2 linked regions of the Rhinolophus ferrumequinum genome follow. The protein of the gene in region 2 interacts with the protein of the main gene of each other region in a pairwise test. Links are inferred from orthologs where the notes say so. Each region holds a gene or a part of one and is shown on either strand. Other genes may lie near its edges.

Evidence for each region.
Region 1: the proteins of GRB7 (region 2) and LAX1 interact in binary tests that used the Homo sapiens proteins (3 or more experiments, as listed by UniProt). The two-hybrid records come from large-scale screens. The link is inferred for Rhinolophus ferrumequinum from reciprocal best matches to the Homo sapiens genes GRB7 and LAX1.

The regions. Positions count from the first base shown.
Region 1 is NC_046305.1:27,268,039-27,279,155, reverse strand, and holds the start of LAX1 (lymphocyte transmembrane adapter 1), read left to right. Parts: upstream 1-6,812; coding exon 6,813-6,901; intron 6,902-9,366; coding exon 9,367-9,476; intron 9,477-9,852; coding exon 9,853-9,963; intron 9,964-10,534; coding exon 10,535-10,620; intron 10,621-11,117. UniProt on the Homo sapiens protein: Negatively regulates TCR (T-cell antigen receptor)-mediated signaling in T-cells and BCR (B-cell antigen receptor)-mediated signaling in B-cells.
Region 2 is NC_046304.1:36,329,691-36,341,474, forward strand, and holds the start of GRB7 (growth factor receptor-bound protein 7), read left to right. Parts: upstream 1-6,349; 5' UTR 6,350-6,525; intron 6,526-6,611; exon of another isoform or gene 6,612-6,634; intron 6,635-6,645; exon of another isoform or gene 6,646-6,792; intron 6,793-10,615; 5' UTR 10,616-10,620; coding exon 10,621-10,772; intron 10,773-10,889; coding exon 10,890-11,040; intron 11,041-11,222; coding exon 11,223-11,379; intron 11,380-11,503; coding exon 11,504-11,625; intron 11,626-11,712; coding exon 11,713-11,784. Other genes in the region: MIEN1 (migration and invasion enhancer 1), read right to left, coding at 179-262, 347-423, 866-963, 1,066-1,154. UniProt on the Homo sapiens protein: Adapter protein that interacts with the cytoplasmic domain of numerous receptor kinases and modulates down-stream signaling. Promotes activation of down-stream protein kinases, including STAT3, AKT1, MAPK1 and/or MAPK3. Promotes activation of HRAS.

The sequences.
Region 1 (11,117 bases), on a different chromosome or scaffold from region 2:
GATGTGTGGCAACCCAGGAGGCAGGAGACGTGTTCTGAGCCCAACTCTGCTCCTTGGCCAGCTTGACTGTCTATCTCTACAAGGAGACAGTTGAACTACATTGACGTTTTTCAGATTACACTTTGAAGGTCTGAAAGGTAGTTCCTCAGAGGTGATTCAGAGCCCACAGGTGTTCAACAAAAGTGGCTTCACAAAAAAGTATTTGGCTTCCAGGTTTACTATAGTTTTAAAAAATAATAATAACTTGAAATCACTGTGAACTAGCCATCTCTGAAATGCTGATTCTAATTAAGAAACCAAATAATCAGTGCTGAAATGATCTAAGCTTGGGTGACAATGTAACAAGTTGTGTGATTAAATAAACAAAGAAGCCTAACTTGGATCCTATCTCCATTGTCTCCCATTATAATTCTCAATGTATGTACAAATAATACAGTGTACAATTCAGCGATTATAGTCCAGCCGGCTGAGATTATTATCTTGCTGATTCTGCTTTGGAATTGGATGTGGAATCCAGAGATCTAACCCACTGGAATGGCATAAAATTGGAGAAGAGAAGCAAGATGGCTCATTTGAGCTTTGGTGAAAAGAGCTGGCCTGCGAATTAGAAGACCTGTGTTATAATCCTGAATCTGCCACTAATTTACTGTGTGACCTAAGGTTTCTCCAGCTCTAACATTCCCCAATCTTGATCTAGTGTCTAAAATTGCTGTCTATAACCATTGGAGACTGTCTAAATGGCATTTCTCTTTCATTGCTTTAACTCCCCTGGAATGCAGCATTATCACAGGCATAGCATGACATGTGTAGGCAGGCTTCACTTAGGCTCAGCCACTTACACATGCAACAAAGACAAATTGCTCCACAGCCCTGCAAGTATAATAAATCTGTTTTATTTCTTTCCTAAATCAAATCTAATGTAGTGCTGAACTAGCTAGCACTTGCCAAGATCTGTGCGAGGTCTCTCTTAGTCATGTTTTATGTTCTTGTCTCCTCCCCTTGGATGTTGCTTCATTGATTCATTTAATAAGGGTTTATTGTCCATGCACTGTTGTATGCACTGGGGATACAACAGGGAACAAAACAAAGTCCTGCCCTCTTTGAACTCAGTCTTGTGGAAGAGAGAGAAAAATACACAAGTAAATATATAGCATGTCGAATGTCAACAAGGACCAGGAGAAAGGTAAAGTGTACAAGTGAAATAGGAAGCACAGGGCACGAGAGTTGCTCTTTTGTAGAGTGGTCAGGGAAGTCCTCTCTGACAGAGACATTTGTGAAGACGTGTGAAGGGAGTAAGAGAGTGAGCTATATCAATATGTGGAGGAAAAAGATTCCCAACATAGGGCACAGCAACTTCAAAAGCCCTGAGGCAGGAGGTCTTGATTTGTTTGAGGACATACAAGGAAGCCAGGGGTTGGAACTGACTGACTAAGTGGAAAAGCATAGGAGATAAATTCAGAGATGGAGGGTTGGAAGTGGGGGCAGAACCTGCAAGCCATTATAAGGTTGGCTTGATGAAATGGGAATTCATTGGAGGGTTTGAACTGAGGACTGAAATGATGATCTACCTCACAGTTTAAGGGAATCATGCTGGCTGTTGTGTGACCTCAATGTAGGGAAAAATGAAAGAACAATGCAGCTTTAGCTACCACACATGCCACATGTGGGCCTAGCCTCATACCTTTAGGATACAGGTATCCTTTAGGATACAGGTAAATCCAAGCCCTACTATCATGCTCTTGTCCTATGATGCAAAAATCATGAAAATAAAATGCTTGTAAAAAAAATTAAGATATATTGCTTGCCACCTTAGCTTGTTCACAATGCCCTGGTTAATGAAATGATTGAAATTATATTCTATTCACTCCACAAGAAGGAAACAGAAAACCATCTTGACCTGCTCTATAGGCCTTCCCTGCTCTAGCCTCTCAGTCCTGCTGTCATATGGCTGTCTGGTTCCCAGGTCCTCTGTCCTGCCGCCTCCTCTGAGATGCGTTATGCCCTCATTACATTCCTAACATGACTACCCACCCTGCTCCCTCTGCTGAGGGTTCACCTCCTTCCAGTCAGGGCCCGGGGGTCAGAAACTCTCTGCATGTGTGGGCTGGTGGAGGGGCACCTGTGGGCTAAGGGATGCCTTGGGCTGTCAGCAGACATTTGCTCGTCAGACATGCCTCACAGCCATCTCTGCTCTGGCTCTGCAGCTACAGAGAATCAAGGTGAGGCTCATAAATGGTGAACTCCAGAAGGACCAAGTAGGCAAGGTCTGCCCTCCTTTCAGGCTTAAAGAAAGGGCTCTCTTACCTTGTCAGCAGTGCCAACCCACCTCCTCTACTAAGGCTTAACTTGAGTGGGGAACAGAAACTATCCCCTTGTCTGGTCACACTTCTTGCTTTCAAATTCTCCTCCTTCCCAAGGGCCTTGGGTGGAGTGGGGACAAGGAGCAGACAAGTTAGAGAAACATTTCTACAGTTTCTAAATCTCTTTATCCTAACCCTGCTGTCTCACAACTTTAACTTGAAAGGAAGGTATTTGCTGCCTTTGTTCTCTGTTTCAGACTTGTCTGGACTGGAGAAGGCATCCAGGATACCAGCAAATGAACAGGGAGGGTGGGGATTGCCACCATTAAGGCCCCCCACTGTAATTCTGCCTGGTTGTCTCAGCAAATAAACCTTCAAAAACAAAGCCTGGCTGAAATTGTCTTTCACATGGGGTAATTTGGGTGTTTTGACCCAGAAATACAAAAGCCGCTGTTAACCCTTTCCTTGGGCAAAGGAGACCCAACCCAAGAGTTCAGGGTTCTCTTCCTGCAGAGAACAGGGAGAGCAGGACTTCTTCCTTTGGCTGATGAGTGCACACAGGAAGAAAGACTAGCCGCTGATTTCTTCCTCAATGTCTCACCCATTATACACTTAGGTCATAAATTCACAGCAGCAATAGCACCTAAGGGAACTCCGAGAGCCCAGTTTACTCGCACTGTGCCAAATGCCAGAGATTCAGTAAATACAACAGTTCCTGCCCGGAAGGGGTTCAAAGACTACTTGGGGAGACAGACATTTCAACAACTAATCCCAACAACTGAGAGGCAGTATCATGCATGGTGCCGTGGGGACACAGACAAAAAAGAATCTGGTTCTTGGGAGAGGAAGGCTTCACAGAGGTGGTGACACTTAGGTCACTTTGTATTAAAATAATTTTTAAAAATAAAAATGACACTTGATCTTTCTAATAATTCAAACAATAAGTGTCCAGATAAAGTAACAAACTACCTCAAGCACCAAAGCAAGAAATAATTAAAATAAACTCTTAAAATGCGACTTCATTGGAAGTTTACAAGAAAATAAGAAACTGTTATTAAAATGAAGAAACTTGTCATGCAAAGGCCCCAAGTAGAAAAGTGACAAAAAGCTGGGTCTGCTTGGAATGCAGAGTGCCTTCCAAGCGGTGGCCAGCCAAGACTGACCACTGCATGAGGGGAGGGCAGGGACCTAGTCTATTTTATGGACACAGCCCGTGGCTAGCCCCATGCCGTGGGAAGGCAGGCAGGCCAAGCATCCAGAGAGGAAAGGGGGAAGGCAAGTGGCAAGTCCATTAAGTATAAAGAAATAAGCCTCATGACTCATGAGATAATAGTACAACAGCAGCCCATTTAACTGAGCTCTTCTTGCACATGCCAAGTCCAAGGCCAAGCATTTTTCATTGTTAGCCCAATTAACTCTCACAACAGCTTTACCTAAGTACTATTATTATTGACACTATACATCCAAGGAAACACCCAAAAAGGTTAGAGGACCTGCCCAAGATCACCCAAATAGTAATTTAGGATCTAAACTCATGTTGATACTCTTAATGCAAGGCTTCCATCTTTCCAAAGAGGATTCTGAGAGGTTTGACATTAGCAACATCGATGATTTAACGTGTAGCCTCCTCCCCTCAAGGGGTTTTGCTCACTTGGATGCATAAGTTCTATTTAAAATAAATTTTAATACTGTTAGAGAACAAAATTTAACCGAGTAAATCTAAAGATCTAGTTGGCTTTATTAAGTGATTCATGTATCCAGCATCATCTCATCTAGCGAGTAGAGGGGCGTTCTGAGGACTTGTACAAAATGGATGGTTTTTATAGTAAGAAGGGTGGAACAGGGGAGTCATTAGCAAAACAAAAAGGATTATTTTTAAACCAGAACATCTTATTTTATGGGGGAATGGAAAGGCAAGTATTCTGTCATGCAGATTGCCTCTTCTTCCTTTGAGGTGGGTGGATGGAGAAGGCCCAAGCAACAGATTACCTTAGGGGTGTTTGACTAGAAAATTCCAGAATGGTTAACTAAGATTATATTTCTGGGAGAAGCTGAAACTGCAGTTAAATCAAGTAGTAAGTCTAGGTTTAATATGGGCTTTAACACAAGTGAGGCCATTTTGGGCCTGTGGTTTTCTCTTTAACAATACTTTAGAATCATATGTCACATTCAACCTCCGAAATCATTACAAGTGGTTAAAGGGAAACACTAGAGCAATCAGGTTTAAAACATATATGCTATTTCTCAGGAATGAATAATTTCCTTCCACTATTATGATGAATAACTTCAGACACCTATTTTGTGTTTTAATTGCTGGCTTAATTGGTTTATGTTCCATAGGGAGGGAAAGAAGAGCATGGTGGAAGGGTACTGCCAAGGGCCTAGAAACCTGGACTTCCTTCTGCTCCTGGGAGCCTCCTTTGAGAAGGCTATTTCCCTCAAGTGTGAGGCAGGAGAGAATCAGAAGACCAGAGGCAAGTTTTGTGTAACTCAAGCAGGCTGGGTAGATAAAGAGATGATTACATGCAGGGGGAAGTATTTTGGAAAAAAAAATATTTCAAGTAGTAGTCAGGGTTCTAAGGTTTGGTTCTATCTGCCTTCCTGTGTATCATCTTTCAAGTTCCTGGTTCACACACAGTCTCCTATTGGTGCCAGTGGCTCAGGACAGGCCTGGGGAGCCTCTCTGTTCCAACAGTCCCAGCCACTAACCAGAGCAATGGATCTTTTTCCCGTGAGGAGTCCTATTTCTTACTCAGTCCCGAACTAAAGGAGAAGTGGACAAAGACCCAGATTCCAGCTCTAGACCCAGCTGCCTCTGAGCCATCTCTGCATCCTGCCAGGTAAGGCTAACTTGGACAGTGGGGACAGTGGGGACAGTGAGGACCTGGAATGGCAGAGCTCCAGGGAGAGCCAGACAGGGGGCCCCCTCTACTAGGGGACCTGTGAGGGCCTGGACAGGTGCAGGGCAGGGGTTGACAGGGAAGAGATGGGAGAGATGCATGGTGGTGAGGCACTGGCTGTCTTTCCTGCCATCCACCTGGGAATCCCTTTTCTTGTGGAAAGCAAAGTCAGAGGCTCTTTTTCACACCCTCTTAATAGTCTTAGTGGCGCCTTCTCTTTGGACTCTCCCAAGATGCAAAGAGAGTTTTAGGAGATTGGTAAGAGGAAGAGGGGAAGGGAGTCAGAAACAAATTTTGAACTATCCTCAAAGTTTGGGACACTTTAGGTAGACACAAGGGATGAACAATTGGCTTCTGAGACAGGTTCACAACAAGCAGGACTGGATCCACCTTCTCCAGAAGAGCCCTATGAGCAAGACAGCTAGCAGTTGGGGCCACTGACTGCCTTCAGGGCAGGCCTTCAGGGAGTAGGGGGGGAAAGAGAGAGCTGAAATGGCTTCCAGGAGCTCTGCTAACCCAGCGTCATCTCCATTGTGGGGCAATACCCAGAACAGAGGTTCTCAAAATGTGAAATAGATCAGCTCCATCAAAATCACCTGGGCAGCGTTTATGAAAACAAACTCAGCACTCTCCACCCGCGAATTAGCATCAGGTGCTAGAGATCCGCATTTGTGTCTAAAAAGCACTCTCCAGTTCTCCTTAAACTTGTTAAAAAATTAGAAACCTGGAGGCTTATAAAACACTAAATACCTCAGAAACCCAGGATGAAGGATTGGTGAATGCCCTGCCACCTTGCCCACACTCCCCATAGACAATGGAGCACCTGGCCAATCCAGGGAACAGGGGGTGCAAATGTGCTTTTTTCTTTCTTATTAAAAGCTGAGCAGCATTTCCTGTATACCATGTTTCATTAGCACATTGGTGGTGTCGCTTCCTGTCACTGACTCTCTGTTTCCATTCTGGCAAAGTGTCTGCTCTTTTCTCTGCTTTGGGGGCTGGAGTAGATGAGCTTCTCACGGAGCCTCTCTCTCTAGCCTCTTGGCAGTTCCCACCTCTGTGCCCCTCACATTTTCACCAGAAGGCAAAGACTATGGCTTCTCCCTGAGCCACCTTAAAAGGAGCATGACACCAGATGTACTCTCCCCTTCTACAATGGGCATTTGTGGCCACATCCAGGAAGAACCAAACTTGTTGTTTTTGTATTTTGGGTCAACTCAGCCTGACATTTCAGGGGTAAACACATAGTAGGGAGTTTGTTGGGGGGAAAAATTCTAGAAAGATTGGAAGTTTAAAAACCAAGAAACTTTTTTTTGGTGAGGGACTGTGGTGAATAAAGATTTCAGAGGAATAAATTGCGAGAGTAGAAAGTTGTGTACTGGGAGTGTTTGGAAGTCATGGATGGAGAACAACAGGATTTCTGTTATTCTTATCTACTAAAAAAAGTAGCTTTACCACACAGGATTATATGTAAAATGCAAACCAATTTTGCCTTTTCTCCTGGGGACAGAATCTTGGGAAAAGCCAGAAAAAGTGGCAGACATGCTGGCTAGCTAATTATGCTTAAGAGAAGGCTTAGAAGGAGAAGCTGAAGCCAAAGAGGTTCCTGTGGACAATGGATGTCATCACCCCGACACTTTCAGACATCAGAGGAAGTACCTCGGAGCCCAGCTCTCTAGAGGTAACTCTCGGCAGGTTGGACAGGTAAGTGGCTCAGGGTGGTGAACTCCACCCTTCCCTGAATTACACAGAGGGCCCTGATCTACCTTGGGGGTTTTCTATCCTACAGTGCTACCACCTACAACCAGACTCAGGTTCACTAAAACCATCAAAGTCTAGGCTCAAAGAAATTTGCTCAAGGTTACTGGGAAGAAAGGAATAGGAACTGAGGAGTAAAAGGAGTCATTGGGGGAAAGGAAAAGCTATGATAACACAGGATTTCCTGAGATCTGGCTGCCTGGCTTGGTTGGATTTCTCACCTCTCAGGTGCCCTGATCACAGTCCTCAGTCTTTCCTATCTCAGATCCCACAAATCACTCCTCAAAAAAATACTAGGTCCACCATGATGAAAACAGAAGGCCCACTTTTTCCAAAGATGTGTTTTTAGGTCCTAAAAATTTGCCATGAGCCATAGTTATGATTATATTTTTTAAAGATATATCTTTAGGACATACAATCTCACAGAACTAGTTGTAGATATCAATTTTACTGCTATATCTTTACGTTCAGTATCTTACTAACAAAAATAAAAGTCCATCAGCAGTTGAAACTTTAGGAACACTGGTAGGTCTAAATTTCAGTGCTATGATAACAACACAAGTATAATAAATTTTAAATTGCTGTAATTTGGGGAAATAAATATTACCATGACAAACACATGTCACTTGCAGGTGGGCAGGAGCATTGATGGGAGTTAAATTTATAAAGTCAGAACCTTGGAGTGTCCCCCACACAAAAAAAACAAAACGATTTCTGTATTTATTCATTTGTTTATTAATTCACTCACTCATGCATTTAACCAATATTCATCAGGCCCTTAGTAAGTACCAGGCACTGTTAGATTCCAGGTGAACAAGGTAGACAAGTCTGTGACTTCCTGGAGTTTACAATCAAGTGGGAGATCAGAAACAGCTAAACAAATGAATGTATACTATAACGTCAGTCATAAATGCTATGAAGAATAATCAGAGTAAGGGGACTGAGAATAATAGGTGTGGCCAGGGAGGACCTATCTGAGGAGGTGACATTCACAAAAGACCTGGATGAAATGAGGGACTGAGCCATGCAGACAGGTCTGAGACAGGACTATGATTTGCACCGGCAAGGAACAGCAAGGAATCCTGGTGGTCAAAGTCAAAGTTGGTAGGAAATAAGGTCAGAAGATAGGCAGAGGCCAGAACATAAGATGCCATGAAGTCCTCACTGGGTGGGGACTATGGCTATTATCAGGTGTGATGGCAAATCATGGAGGGTTGCAAGTGGAAGAGCAATGTGATCTGATTAACCTTCTAGAGGATCACACTGGCTCATGTGTGAAGATAGTATGCTGGCGCTGAGAGTGCAAACATGGAGACCAATTAGGAAGGTCGTCGCAAAGGTCCATGTGGAACACACAGTGTCTTAGGCCAGGAGGTGGCAGTGGAGGAATGAGAGGTGATGGGATCTGGGATAGATGCCTAGGACTGAGCAACAGAATCTGCTGGTTGACTAGAAGTGGGTCATGAAAGAAAGAGAACAGTCAAGGATGGTTTTAGACTGAGCTACTAGATGATGGGAAACCCCAGAGTAGGAGGAGGTTTATGGGGAGAGAATAGTTCTGTTTCAGACAGATTTGGTTTGAGATGTCAGGCAGCCTAGTGGAAATGCCCAGTACAAAGTTGGATAAACAAGCCTAGAACTCAGGAGGACAAAATCTTTCCCTGATGGATGACCTGGTTCCTATATTTGGGGGTGGCAGGTCAGCTAGTGATTCCTTCTGGCTACTTGCTGTTACAATAGACAACGCAGAACACGAATGCCAGCCCCGCAGGGGAATTGCAAGTGGCACAGAACTTGCTCGGTGCATTTGCATTGGTTAAATTCAACAGAACAGAGTGTTGCTTGGAGACCAGCTCCACAAGTTGTTGGTCCTGTGAAAGTTACCCAAGTGCACACAAGCTGGACTGTCACAGAGCCACACTCTAACTGTAAATTGGGTAATCCACCCAGGATCCGGAATGAGGGGAAGCAAGGGCTGATGAACTTGACTCTGCAAGTTTGGAGGTCAGTGTGATGCAGTGGAAAGAGCACGATTTTTGGGCACACCTAGACTCACATTCCAATTTTGCTCCTTCCTGCCTGTGTGATCTCTGATATGTGACTTTACCTTTCTGAGTTTAAATCTCAGGTTCCTTGGCCACAAAGAGAGATGGGACTGTTGCAAAGATTAAATAAGTATCACATGCAAAACCCAGGCATCCAATAGGTATTCACACAGGATAGTCCTTCTCCAGCGTACAATTTCCCTCTGCCCACGAAGAGATGGCCGTCTTCCACTACACAGCCTATCCCACCTCAGCCTTCCTGTACCCGGCTTCCATTCCAAATTGGCTCAAACTCCTGAAAGAAGCATTTTCTCCAACCTCCCCACCCTCCCACAGCTGGGTCCTGGCACTCGGTTTTCCTCTTAGATATAAAGACCAGAGCAGCAGCATCTTTTCTGGGTTTGCGGGACTCCTCGCCGTCCTCCTGGTCATCGCGGTTCTCTGTGTCCTGTGGAACTGGAATAAACGGAAAAAGCGTGAGTCCCTTGTTTGTCCAAAGTTGAGACACACTAGGACTAATAATCTAGCCTGGCATTTAAAGCCCAGTTTATTCTCTAGGGATACGCTATTGCACCAAGGACACACTGGTCCTTGATTCAATTAAGATTGTAGGTTGTGGCTCCAAAAGGCTCAGTGCTGATTGTGGATCCATTTTGAAAATCATTGCCCTAGTAACCCTGTGCCCCCGTTTTCTCTTCCCTGTTTTCTGCTTTGTCCACCAAGCCCCCTATTTTTGTAGCTCAAATGGAATTTGCCAAGTCTAAAAATTCAGTTTTTATGATGCTGGGTGAGGAAATGCTTTCAGGGACAATTTCATCCCCAAGAGTCCCCTTCTCTCTCGTTGCCATGCAGGGCGAGGTCTTTACCTGCAAGTTACCATCATGCCCTTACGGACTCTGCCTCGACCCAGGCAACGAGCCAAAAATATTTATGACTTCTTGCCCCGGAGGCAAGAAGAGCTGGGTAGGTTTTTCTTTGTAATCCATAGAGGCCTGACATACTGAAGTTCTGCCCCCAAAATGCACCTCTCACCACCTGGAAGCAACTTCCTCTAAACTTCTAGAACTTCCTGCCCATAAGGGAGCATGGAGGAGAATGGGATAGATAGACTATAAAATGCAACGCCAGTGGGGGGGCCTAGAGAGCTCTAAAAAGGGAGCAGGGGTTGTCTAGTTTTGGGTTTTTTTCTTGATGTTAAGGTAGCGGAGGACAGATGGGTGTGTCTAGGGATGGAGAAGACACTCAGAAGAATAACATGGCTTCCAGCATGACAGGCAGGGAGGGTTCCCACCAGGAGCTTCCTTCCCAGCCTCAACAGCCTTGTGCTCATGTTCCCTGTGACCTCAGAAGCTGAGGAGGGCTCCAGGTCTCAGAGCTCACCATGCTTGTAGTACTGACCATCTGGAGTGCTACAGAACACCAGCCCGCAAACATCAGACACCACACAAACCCACTTCACTCATGATACAGGGAGTGTTGAGGCTGAAGCTAGGACTGGCTAACTATCGTCAGGATTTGTTCTCTGTCCTTTCAGGCAGACATCAGTTGAGGAGTATACGCATTTTCAGTACCGAGAACCTCCTTCCCAGAAACTCTGACAGCCCTCCCTCAGCACATATGGTAAGAGTCATGTGAAATGACCAGCTTCTTGGGAGAAATGACTAATTTCTGGCAGAAAAACTCAGGTGAAAGAGTCACAGGTCCTCAATCTTGTCATCAGAGTCGAACAACGTGTCCTTTGGCACTCGCCCTTGCGACCTTATTAATAAATCAGGAAGACTAGCCTCAGGACCTCCCTACTGCCCAAGGAGAAAAATTAAGATAGATATGAGCAAGTGCTTGGATTTTAAGAAGGGCACCAGGGCAACAATACTCCAGGACGTGATGTTAGAACTGTAATGGGTTGTTTTAACAAAGACATGATAATGTGCTTATTCAAATAAGCATAGTCCTTTTCAAAGTAATTCACCTCCAGAGGGTCACAGATATTCCAACATTGCTGTTGGTGCTCAAAACAGACATAAAACCCTGCTTTGGGAATTACTTCTTGGGCTTGTGTCAAATTATTTCAATTATCCTCAACAGCAGAAATAGTCATAAGTCACTGGCACTGGTGT
Region 2 (11,784 bases):
TCCCACCGAGACCACATAAGTTTCTATTCCCTCCTGGTACCCAAAAGGGCAAAGTGGAGGCCAGGGTCTCTTAGCTACCAGGAGCTAAGGGAAAGAGGCAATGGGAAACCCTCAGCAGGACCAAAGGGGAGACCAAGGCTTGGATCCCAGAAGAGCAGGAACCCGGAATCCCATGTAGTCACAGAATGACGCAGGGAGGTCGGCTGTTGGTGATCTTTTCTAGGGGTTCTCCATTACTGGCTCTTCGGATGGCCTCAATGAGCTAGAGGGCAGACATGTGGAATGGGATGATGTGTTGTAGGGGTAGGGTGAACCAGGGGGTACTTCCAACATGGCAAATACTCACATCTTTCTCATAAGGGAAGCCCCCATTCTCCAGCTTGGAGAAAACCAGCTGTCCATTGATCTCGATCTCAAAGGCGCCTGGTAGTAAATAAACCAACAAATGAACTGTATGCTGAGAACAGGCAAAAGTTGGGAGATCCTCCAAAGGTGGGCCTTCTACACAACTTAGACTCACTCCTTCATGTCCCCCTTGGCCCCATTAGAGGCTCTTGTAGTTCTTTAAGCAATTTTCCAAGCCTGGGTCAAGCCAAAGGAACCTACAGAAAGTGTCTGTCACTTGTGTATCCTTTCTTTGAACTAAATGAAGGGCTCCCTCCTCTCAAATCTATACTTCAGTCTCATCAGTTTTTCTCTACAGGCTTCATCTGTGACCCCCTCTCCTATGGGAGGGGCCTCAAGTTGGCTGGACATATACTATGTGCCAGATCCTGCTGGACACTAAAACAGCCAATGCCGGAGCTAAAAACCTTAGAGGTGGGATTTAAAAACACTGACTCAGCAGGTGTTCTGCGGGCCTCACCTGTGCCCCCCAGGCGCGACTCAATCTCGATGCCAGGATACTGCTCTTTCACGGCACTCGCCAGCTCCAGGTAGGTCGACTCGAAGCCGCAGGGTTCACTAGGAAGAAGATGCCTGGGGTCCGCTTGGGTTTCGGGGTGGGGGGGCTCCCGTGGACCCACCCCCGTCCGGGCCGGAACCCCACCGGGCAGAGCTGCTCACCAGTACTCCACCACGATGCGGACCCCACTGCCAGGTTCGAGCTCCCTGGGATGGGGCGCTGCAGACGTCGGCCCCAGGTCCCCGCTCATTGCTGCGGGCTCCGCTTCAGCCGCTGCTTCCGGGTGTGACGCGACGCCGCAGGCACGTGAAGGGGCGGAGTCGCGCGTTACGTCCGGGCGTCCCCTTGCGGGCTGCTGCTGCTGGTCTGTTTTGACCCTATTCTTAGCTAGAAAGCTGGGCACTCGGTGGACTAGTCCAGACCACGTTACCTACGCGCTGATTCTACGAGATCCTGGGCTTATCCCGCACCGGGTGTCCGCTGGACTTCACCGCCTTATTTGATCTAATGAAATATCTTAAACTGCAAAGCGCTTTCCAGGAAGAGAATGTGGTGGAGCAAGGGGTCTCAGGGTCTAGGGTTGGCTGATGGTATAGAATAGTTGCCATTTCTCGCTAACATGCTGATGGCATTTTAAACCATCCCACAGCCACACCCTCAGGTATTTCTGACTACACCATAGACACAACCTAGGGCAGTGACCACGTCTCCCCTGCATTCAGGAACCATAGGTTTTGGGGCTCCCCCTCAAGCTGTATGCGCCCCATCACGTGCACCCAGTTCCTGCACCTCCCCTGTTAGCCCAGCTTCACTACAGGTTGGCATCATTATTCTCATTTTGCAATTCTAGAAATGGAAGCTGTCTCCCTGTCTCTTCCTGGCTTCCCACCATAGCCCACCATAGCATACTAACAGGTCACCCACTCTACCATTTCTTTAAACCATTCATTGGATTTCTTCAAACCATTCATTGTTTTTCCATTTATTTATTTCCTCTATCTATCTATCTATATTAGTATCAGGAAAACCATTTTTTAAAGATTTTATTGGGGAAGGGGAACAGGACTTTATTGGGGAACATTGTGTACTTCCAGGCCTTTTTTCCAAGTCAAGTTGTTCTTTCAGTCTTAGTTGTGGCGGGCGCAGCTCAGCTCCAGGTCCAGTTGCCAGTTGCTAGTTGCAGGGGGCGGAGCCCACCATCCCTTGCAGGACTGAGGAATGGAACTGGCAACCTTGTGGTTGAGAGCCCACTGGCCCATGTGGGAATCGAACCGGCAGCCTTCAGAGTCAGGAGCACAGAGCTCCAACTGCCTGAGCCACTGGGCCGGCCCAGGAAAACCATTTTGTAAGCAATGATTTATAGAGTTGTACAACCATCACTACAATCCAGTTACAGAACATTTCCATCAAGCTCAAGAGGTCCCTCCAGCCTGTTGGCAGTCAATTCATCTCTCAGATCCAGCCACTGATCTGCTTTCTGTCTATAAATTTGCCTTTTCTGGACATCTCGTATATCAGATAGAATGATACAATATGTGGTCTTTTGCTTCTGGCTTCTTTCATTCAGTGTAGTTTTTGAGATTCAACCATGCTGTAGTATTACCAGTAGTTTGTTACTTTTTTGTAGCTGACTAGTATCCCATTGTATGGATATGCCACCTTTTGTTTATTCAATACCGATGAATAGACATTTGAATTTCCAGTTTTTGGCTATTTTGAATAATGGTGCTATGGACGTTCATGTAAGTACATACAAAGAGTATGTACATGTGTGTCCACGTTTCTTAGGTAGATTCCTAGGAGTAGAATTGCTGGGTTGAATGGTTAGTTTATGTTCAACTTTTTAAGAAACTGCCAAACTGTTTTAAAAAGTGGCTGTACCATTTTACATTCCCGATAGCAAAATATATGAGAATTTGTTTCCCCATATCTTTGTCAACACTTGTTGCCTATCTCTTTGATTATAGCCATCCTGGTAGGTGTGAGGTGGTATATCATTGTGGCTTTAGTTTGCATTTTTCTAATGACTAATGATGTTGAGCATCTTTTTATGTGCTTACTAGCCATTCATGTATCTTATCTGGAAAAATATATATTCAAGTATTTTGCCCATTTTTTTTTTTTAAGATTTTATTGGGGAAGAGGAACAGGACTTTATTGGGGGAACAGTGTGTACTTCCAGGCCTGTTTTTCCAAGTCAAGTTGTTGTCCTTTCAATCTTAGTTGTGGAGGGTGCCGTTCAGCTTCAAGTTGTTGTCCTTTCAGTCTTAGTTGTGGAGGGTGCAGCTCAGCTCCAGGTCCAGTTGCCATTGCTAGTTGCAGGGGGCGCAGCCCACCATCCCATGCAGGAGTCAAGGAGTTGAACTGGCAACCTTGTGGTTGAGAGCCCACTGGCCCATGTGGGAATCGAACCGGCAGCCTTCGGAGTTAGGAGCATGGAGCTCCAACCACCTGAGCCACCGGGCTGGCCCTATTTTGCCCATTTTTAATTGGGTTGTCTATTACTGATTCGTAAGCATTTTTTATTCTAAATTCAAAGTCCCTAACTGGATAGATGACTTGTAAATATTTACTCCCAATGTTTGACAAGTTTCTTGTTTTAATTTTCTTAGTTATATCTTTTTTTTTTTAACTTTTATTTATTTAAGCCTGTTTTTCCAGGACCCGTCAGCTCCAAGTCAAGTAGTTGTTTCAATCTAATTGTGGAGGGCGCAACTCACAGTGGCCCATGTGGGGATTAAACCGGCAACCCTGTTGTTAAGAGCTCACGCTCCAACCAACTGAGCTAACTAGCTGCTCCAGTAATGTCTTTTGGAAGGCAAAAAATTTTAGTTTTGATGAAGTTTAATTGACCAATTTTTTTCTTTTGTCACCTGCACTTTTGCTGTATGTGAGATACAAGATCATAAAGATTTTCTCCATTGGTTTCTTCTAGAAGTTTTATAGTTTCAGCTCTTATGTTTAGGTCTATGATCTATTTTGAATTAATTTTCATACATGGTGTCAGGTAAGGATCTATATTCATCTTTAGGCATGTGGATATTCATTCGTCCCATAACCGTTTATTGAAAAGATTATCCTTTTACCCTGAATTGTCTTGGCATCTTTGTCAAAAATCAATTGACCAGAAATGTAAGGTTTTATATTTGGACTCTTGATTCTGTTCCATTGATCCATACATCTATTTTTTGTTTCTTTCTTTCTTTTTTTTTATTGGGGAAGGGGAACAGGACTTTGTTGGGGAACAGTGTGTACTTCCAGGCCTTTTTTCCAAGTCAAGTTTTTGTCCTTTCAATCTTAGTTGTGGAGGGCGCAGCTCAGCTCCAGGTCCAGTTGCTGTTGCTAGTTGCAGGGGGTGCAGCCCACCATCCCTTGCGGGAGTCAAACCTGCAACCTTGTGGTTGAGAGGACGCGCTCCAACCAACTGAGCCATTTGGGAGCTCAGCAGCAGCTCAGCTCAAGGTGCCATGTTCAATCTTAGTTGCAGGGGGCGGAGCCCACCATCCCTTGCAGGACTCGAAGAATTGAACTGGCAACCTTGTGGTTGAGAGCCCACTGGCCCATGTGGGAATCGAACCGGCAGCCTTCGGAGTTAGGAGCATGGAACTCTAACCGCCTGAGCCACCGGGCCGGCTCTGTTTCTTTTTTTTAATTAAAAAAATTCAGATACAATTTATACACAGTAAAATTCACCCTCTTGAGTGTACCTTTCTGTGAGTTCTGACTCACAGTTGTATATCCACCACCAACACCAAGATACATAACAGTCCATTACTTCCTACAGGTCCCTGTGACCCTCTCCCTCCACCCCACCCCAACCCCAGATCTGCTTGTTTTAGTTTCACCCCCTCCAGAAAGCCTTAATGGAATCCTACAGCACTCAGTCCTCTGGCTTCCCTTTCTAAACTATCCTTCAACATCCAGAGTGATCTTTCCAAAATAAAGATCTGCCTGTTCCTCTGTGCCTCTATTTAAGCCCAGGTAGACCCTGCAGGGTCTGGCCTCTGCCCACACATAGTTCCTGCTGGTCTGGACAGACAGGATGGATGGCTCTTAAACCTGGTTCACAGAACAACCACCTGAGGGCTTGTCAATACCACACATTCCTGGGTCTTGGCCCCAGAAACAGATTCAGAGGTAGGGAGGGGAACCTGGATCTGTTTTTCATACAAGCCTAGGGAGATGTAGAGGCAGGTGGTCACCGGCTACACTTTGAGAAACACAGCTGAGTCCAAAGCACTTGCCTTTCCCCACACCTTCCACAGCCACTTCCCTGCCCCAGACAGCTTCCCCTCTGCTCAAATGTCACCTCAAGGGAGAAGTCTTCTTTAACTCCCTGGGTGAGTCATTCTCCCAGCATCGTTTGTCACCTGTTGTTTCTTATTATTTGTATAATTCTTTGATTAGCATCAGTCTCCCGACTGGGCCACAGGAGGACAAGGGCGCGGCCTGTGTTTGTTGCTTACCACTGGATCCCCAGTACCAAGCATGGGTTTGGCCTAGAATAGATTCTTAACAAATATTAGTTGAATGAAGGAATGACTGAGTGAACTGTCTACTGTGCTTTGCATAAGCTACTCCATGGCCCAGGTGACCTACCCCCTCCCCCACTTCTTTGCTTAGTCCACTCACACTGGTTTTTCGGAGAAAATGTAGTTTGGAGAAAGTGGAGGCTGGAGCCACTTTTCATGGTCTCCCAGGGCAGACCTCTTATCACCCTATGGGTTGTTTTGTTTACCCAACTGTCACCCACTTCAGGCTGGGAGGTGGCCTCTGCCTTTGATCTCAGCCTCCCAGGTCCTCCCCTCCACACCCCAGTGTTTGCCTAGTGCAAAAGGAGAGAGCCAAAGTGAGCGCTCTAGGGGAGTACCCTGGCACCTGGCCAGAGCTTTCCCTACCAAGAGACCATGACTTACCCCTTCAATTTCAGGAGAAGCTAAGCCCCTGCATTTTGCTCAGAAGGGAGGACATACCCTCCGTGCCTCAAAGGAGCCAGGATGCAGCCCGGGGGGCCAGGCTGTGGCTGGAGGTCAAGAGGCAGGCCGAGTTGCCGGACACTCCTCTGATTGGCGGCCCCCTTTTGTCGAGCGCCCTTTGCCCCAGGGGGTGGGACCCAGAGCAGGCCCCCAGCTTTGGCCAATGAACACTCCAGGTTTGGGGGGTGGGGGCAAGGGGAAAAGTGGGCGGGGCCGTTTCCTCTCACCTCGTCCCCCAGTCCCTCCCTCCCAGGCTGTGAGGTCTTAGCTCTTGAGGCTATTCAGTTCGACTGTCTCCGCCTCTCCCCTGGCACCTGCTGCCAGGCTAAGAAGGGTAAAAACAATCCCAGCCGGCGTACAGTTTCAGGGAGTCCCCGCCCAGCCTAAGCTTCCTCCTCCCATGCCGCTCCTCCAGGCCCCACCCCCACCTGCCCAAGATAATTTTAGTTTCCTTGCGCCAGGAGCCGGTACACACTGGGCTCACCCTCCCCCCCGCCCTCACTTCTACATCCAAAGGCGGGACACCCTCCTACCACCTGTACAGAAGAGGGAGCGGATTTGAAATCAAGTCCAGGTGTCTAGGGTCCCTAGACTGTGCCGATCTTCGGACTCTGTGTCCTGCTACTCCTGCTGAGGTTTTTACAGGTAAGGGGGCAGAGATCAGTCCCAGACGACAACCTGCACCCCGCCCCCCAGCCGCACCGGGGCCCCAGGCTGTGCCCGTCTCAGGGCCAGGAGCTGGCTGGCTGCCCAGGTGAGCGGCCGGGCGGCCAACTGGCTCCCTCTCCTGTTCCCCCCTCAGTGATGTCAGGCCAAGGGCGGGGGCAGGAGGGGGACAGGTAGTTAAGGGCTTGGCGTCTCCCTCCCCAAATCGGAGGCCCCAGCCAGGTGTCACCAACGCCCCGGGTCCAGGTAAGGACCAAAGCGGGCATTTCATCTTGGGAGGGTGGGGAGCACCGTCAGGACCGGGGACAATATGGGAAGATTCGGCCTCCTGCTGTGTTACTCCGGCGGCCTCTCTTTCTGTTTTCCTCTAGCCCCCCATCCCTCCCCTTCCTCACCGTCTGCCCTCAGCCTTTCCCTATCCTCATTTCCTGTCCTCTCCAACCGTTCCTTCCCTCTCTGTACCCAACCTTCTCCCCCCGCCCCCCGGATCAACTAGCACATGGGGACGGGGAAGTTCGATGTCAGATTCTCTACTCCGGGAGACGCGGCTTTCCCGCTGAAACTAGCCCCTCCCCACCCCCATTCTCAGAAGGCGAGCTAGGAGGGGGGTCCGAATATCGAGGAAGCTGCCCCGGAGTCACTCCCTAGCTCAGCCTGATTTTTACCTCAGTTTAAGTTTCCCCAAGTCTTTTACTAAAGACCGACATCTCTGCGACGGGAGGGAGGGTCTCGTTTGGAGGGCAGTTAAAGAGGGATTCTCTACGTTGCTAGAGCTTCGTCTCTCCGGATTGTACCTGTGTTCAGGAACACAGGGTCCTGCCCTCGAATGGGAGAATGGGGGCGGGGAAGGTCCAGGGTCCCTCCTGGCTTCAGAACAAAGTGGGCTGGAAAGGCTGGAGACCTGGCTGCTGGGGTGGTCAGCCGCACAGCGCGGCCTGGGGAGAGTGTGTGTGCGTGTTGGGGGGTCGGGGGGGAGGCAGATGGTCTCGTCTGTTTGAATAGGCCGGAGAAAGACCCAGGTCCCAGTCTGGGTCTCCCTGGCTCGTTGAGGATGGAGAATGCACCTGTCCGTGGTTGAAAGGTGTCCTAACCCCACTGCCACTCAAGAATGCCCCCTCTTGGTCTGCCTTTCATGGACTCTGCTCTCCCCTTCACCCCTGATACCCCCCGGGGGGGCCCTCCGCGAAGGCAAGCAGCCAGTAATGATTAACTCCACAGACACTCTAGCATTCTTACCAAATTAAACTTTAAAAGAGCTGCCCCCCCTTCTCCCATTGGGCGTTTCTTTTCTGAGCAAGGGAGTAGGCGGGGCCTCAAGGTCCAGGGCCCTCCCCCCAACTCCGGGTCACAGAGGGGTTCCCCGCCTCCTCACCTGGGCCCTGCACCATAAGAGCTCCCCCAAAAGTTGAGCCTTCCCCGCTACAATCAATCGCGATGGGGGCGGGGCATGAAGTTCTGGGCTAGACCCGGTCTTCCCTCCACGTCCAGGGCCCCAGCCCAGGCCTCTGTCCTGCTAGCCCCTCCCCCCACCCTGGGAAGCACCGAACGTGGCCTTGTTTTCTGTCGGCCTTAAACACTGGGCCTTGCCACCCGCCCTTGGGGCCAGCCAGGTGGGGCAAGATTCAGGAAGTAAACAAGGAGGCAGGAGGCAGGAGGCAGGCAGGGAGGGAAGGAGGGTGGGGCCGGAGCCGCCGGGGCAGGAGAGGCGGTGGGGAAAGCCGCTGCTTGGACTTGCAGTGTTTAGGGGACAGATTGATTCTGGGGTTTGGCTTCAGCAGAAGCGAATTTCCTAAGGCCCCAGTTTGAAAGCTTTAGCTCTCTTGGGAAGGAGGCTTGTCCAGGCCCCACAGCTGGGACCCCAGTTCTCCTATTTCATCTCTTTGGTCCTGATTGTGCCACTCTTCTCTTTGCCTCAGAAGGGTCTGGAAGAGGCGGGGTGGAGGGATCTGAAGACCAAACCCAAGTTTGAGGCCATACTAATCTGATTTAAATCTGCCCTCTCCCCTTCCAAACACTGCCCTGATTCCTCTTCCATCTGGGATGGGGGAGGACCCAGACTCCTCCCCGACCCCCCCCCCTCGCCTCTGGCTTCCAAGAGGGGTAGCCTCTGCAAACCCTCTCCCTAGTCCTCCTCGTGGAAGCGTTGTGTTCTGGTGGTGATGTACTGGTGTCTATCAGGATCAATGGTGGGAATATCTTCCCCTTTCCCAGTAGGATACTGAGCCCCTTCCTTTGCTCTCCCTCCTGGACCTTTCCTTGTCTGCTTGTCTGTCCTCCTGGGTGTCTTGACTTTCTGCTCCTGCTCCTGGGGTCCACCTCTTGCCAGGACACTAGGAGAATGTGTAGGAGGGCCTTCATCCCCCGTGAGCTGGCTGAGTCCTGGGTACTAGGGCCGGGCAGCAGCAGCAGAATGAAAGCCTGGGAGGCCCCATATAGTAGAGGGAGCAATGCAAGCTTTCTTTGGGTGAGTGAGGGACGCCCCTGGGAGGATGGCTCCACTACCGATGGGCCTCTAAATCCAGGCCTGATTTTTCTTCTCTCTTGTCCGGACTGGGGTGCTCCTGGGTTGGGTGGTGGTGACTGGACTGGGGACAGATTGCAGGTCCCACCTGGACTGGAGATGTGGAGGTAGGCCGAGGGTGAGGAGGAAGAGATGATGTCAGAGGAGCCTCAGGCCCTGTATCCTCCTCCCTTGCTCCTCCTCATCCCCTGTTGTGTTCCTTGCCCTGTGCCTTCCCTATTCCTCCCAGGCTGGAAGGTTGGGGGCGGGAGTGGAGGCGGTGTGTAGAGGCAGGGTTGTTTGTGTTTCTCTTAAGCCAGGAAGTTGTGCAGATGAGTCAAGGTTGAATGGAGAGCCCCAGGCAGTACCATCCCGCCCCACCCTGACTCAGCTGTCCCCCAAGTCCCCTCATGCCCACACTTAAGGGTCAGGGACGTGCCCCATTCTGGAGGGTCAATCCCAGTGCCCCAGGCAGCCTAACAACACTGCCCAGGGTCTGGAGAGCAGGCAGGGGGCTGGAACTGGTGATGTCTCCCAGGTCCTCCCTGGTCTCAGCCCAGCCAAAGGGATCTTGGTTCCTGTGGGGGAGGGGCCTGCATTACCTCTACCCCCAGTGGGCATCTTTGCCCCATTTCTCCTATCCTTACTCATCCTGGGTGCCCATGCAGCACCTGTGGGTGCTAAGACTTGGGGAAGACCCTGGCCCTGCCTAGGAGAGCCGAGTATCTCCAGACCAGTGGGTTGATAAGACAGGTGCACAGTAATTGGCGAGGAAGCCCCAGTGCAGTACCCTGGGAGCCCTTCCAACTGAATGTAGAAAATTCAGGAAGGCTTCTCAGAAATGGTAGGTCTGGCATTGGGGCTTTAAGAAAGTTGGGCAGTTGGAATGGCCTGGGGAGGGCACACGGGTTTGGGGGCTGCTGGGGCCAGGGCCCCAGGCTAGCCCTCCCCATCCCACTGCAGCTGACCCTGCCCCCCTGGTACCTGTTCTTACTCACCTCCTCCTCCCCTTTGCATCACTCAGCACTTGGGCAGGCGTTGCCACAACAGGCTCTGGCAACCAGGTCTGGCAACAAAGCACTGGAAGAACCTGGGGCAGAGCCCAGAGGAGTAAGTGCCCCACGCTCGGAGAGAGAGGAGTGGCCCTTTGCTCTGACACTGAGAGCTTGAGCCCCAGACAAATCTGTGGGTCCTGGAATCTGTTGCTGTTGCCCGGCTTGTAGTTGGGGGACCCTCTTAGCTCTTGTCTTGGGCAACTTGGGGCTAAAGGAAGAGAAGAGCACTGGACTAGGTGTCCCAACACTGGGTTCCTCTCCCTGGCTTATCTGTGATGGGAGCGAGAATGCTTCCTTCTCAGGGACTTGGTGCCCCCTTTTGTAAAATGGACTAACTTTTCTTTTCCCAAAGTTTCCAGGGAAACTCCAGTTAGAAGGGAAACAATGAGGTACTAGGTAAACTCTGAGCGGCACCTGACATCTATGTGAAGTGAGGAAGTCGGGGTCTTCTTGGCTCCTCTCCCCAAGACAAAGGCACAAGAGCGGCTGCATTCAGCCCCCTCTTCTCCTTCAGATGTCATGGAGTTGGGTCTGTCTCCACCTCATCGCAGCAGCTCCCCAGAAGACCTGTACCCAGCCCCTGGGACCCCTCCTGGGACTCCTCCGCCTCCTGATAGCCCTCTGCCTGGGGAGGTGAAGAGGTCTCAGCCTCTGCCTATTCCCACCAGCAGGTACGATGGGGAGCTGGGGCTGAGGAGGGCTGGCGGGGGGGGGGGGGCGGAGGGGGAGGCAGGAGGGCGGTGGTCATACCTAGAAGCTTGCAGTCAACTCCTCCCTGCCCCACACAGGAAACTTCGAGAGGAGGAGCTGCGGACGACCTCTCTACCCTCCATCCCCAACCCTTTCCCCGAGCTCTGCAGTCCTTCTTCACAGAGCCCCATTCTCGGGGGGCCCTCTAGTGCAAGGGGGCTGCTTCCTCGAGACGCCAGCTGCCCCCATGTGAGTTGTCCTGGGAACGAGAAGGCAGGGATGTGGAGGTGCTATGGGACACCGTGGATATAGTGCTACTTCTGTGAAGGTGGGGGGACTTGATTAGGTGTCCCTGAGGGCATAGCAGATGGGGGAAGGGAAAGGACCGCCCTTTGCCCTTCCTCAAGGACTCTGCAATTCCTGGGGTGCAGGTAGTAAAGGTGTACAGCGAAGACGGAGCCTGTCGGTCTGTGGAGGTGGCGGCAGGTGCCACGGCCCGCTATGTATGTGAAATGCTGGTGCAGCGAGCTCACGCCCTCAGTGATGAGAACTGGGGGCTGGTGGAGTGCCACCCCCATCTAGCACTGGGTGAGTTGAGGTGCAGGGTCTGCCTGGACGGGGAGGACATGCTTCCCAGTTGGGCTAGGGAGATGGCTCATCCGAGAGGCCTTGGCTGATGTCCACTGACCCCGCTTTTTGCCCTTGATCCCAGAGCGGGGCTTGGAGGACCATGAGTCAGTGGTGGAAGTGCAGGCTGCCTGGCCTATCGGCGGAGACAGCCGCTTTGTTTTCCGAAAAAACTTCGCCAAGTATGAACTGTTCAAGAGCTCCCCAGTGAGTGCTGGGGGTAGCGGGGAGCTCTGGGACACCTGATCCCCTATCTGGACCCTCAGCCCCTGACTCCTGACTCCTTGCTCCCAGCACTCCCTGTTCCCAGAAAAGATGGTCTCCAGCTGTCTGGACACACACACGGGTGTATCCCACGAAGACCTC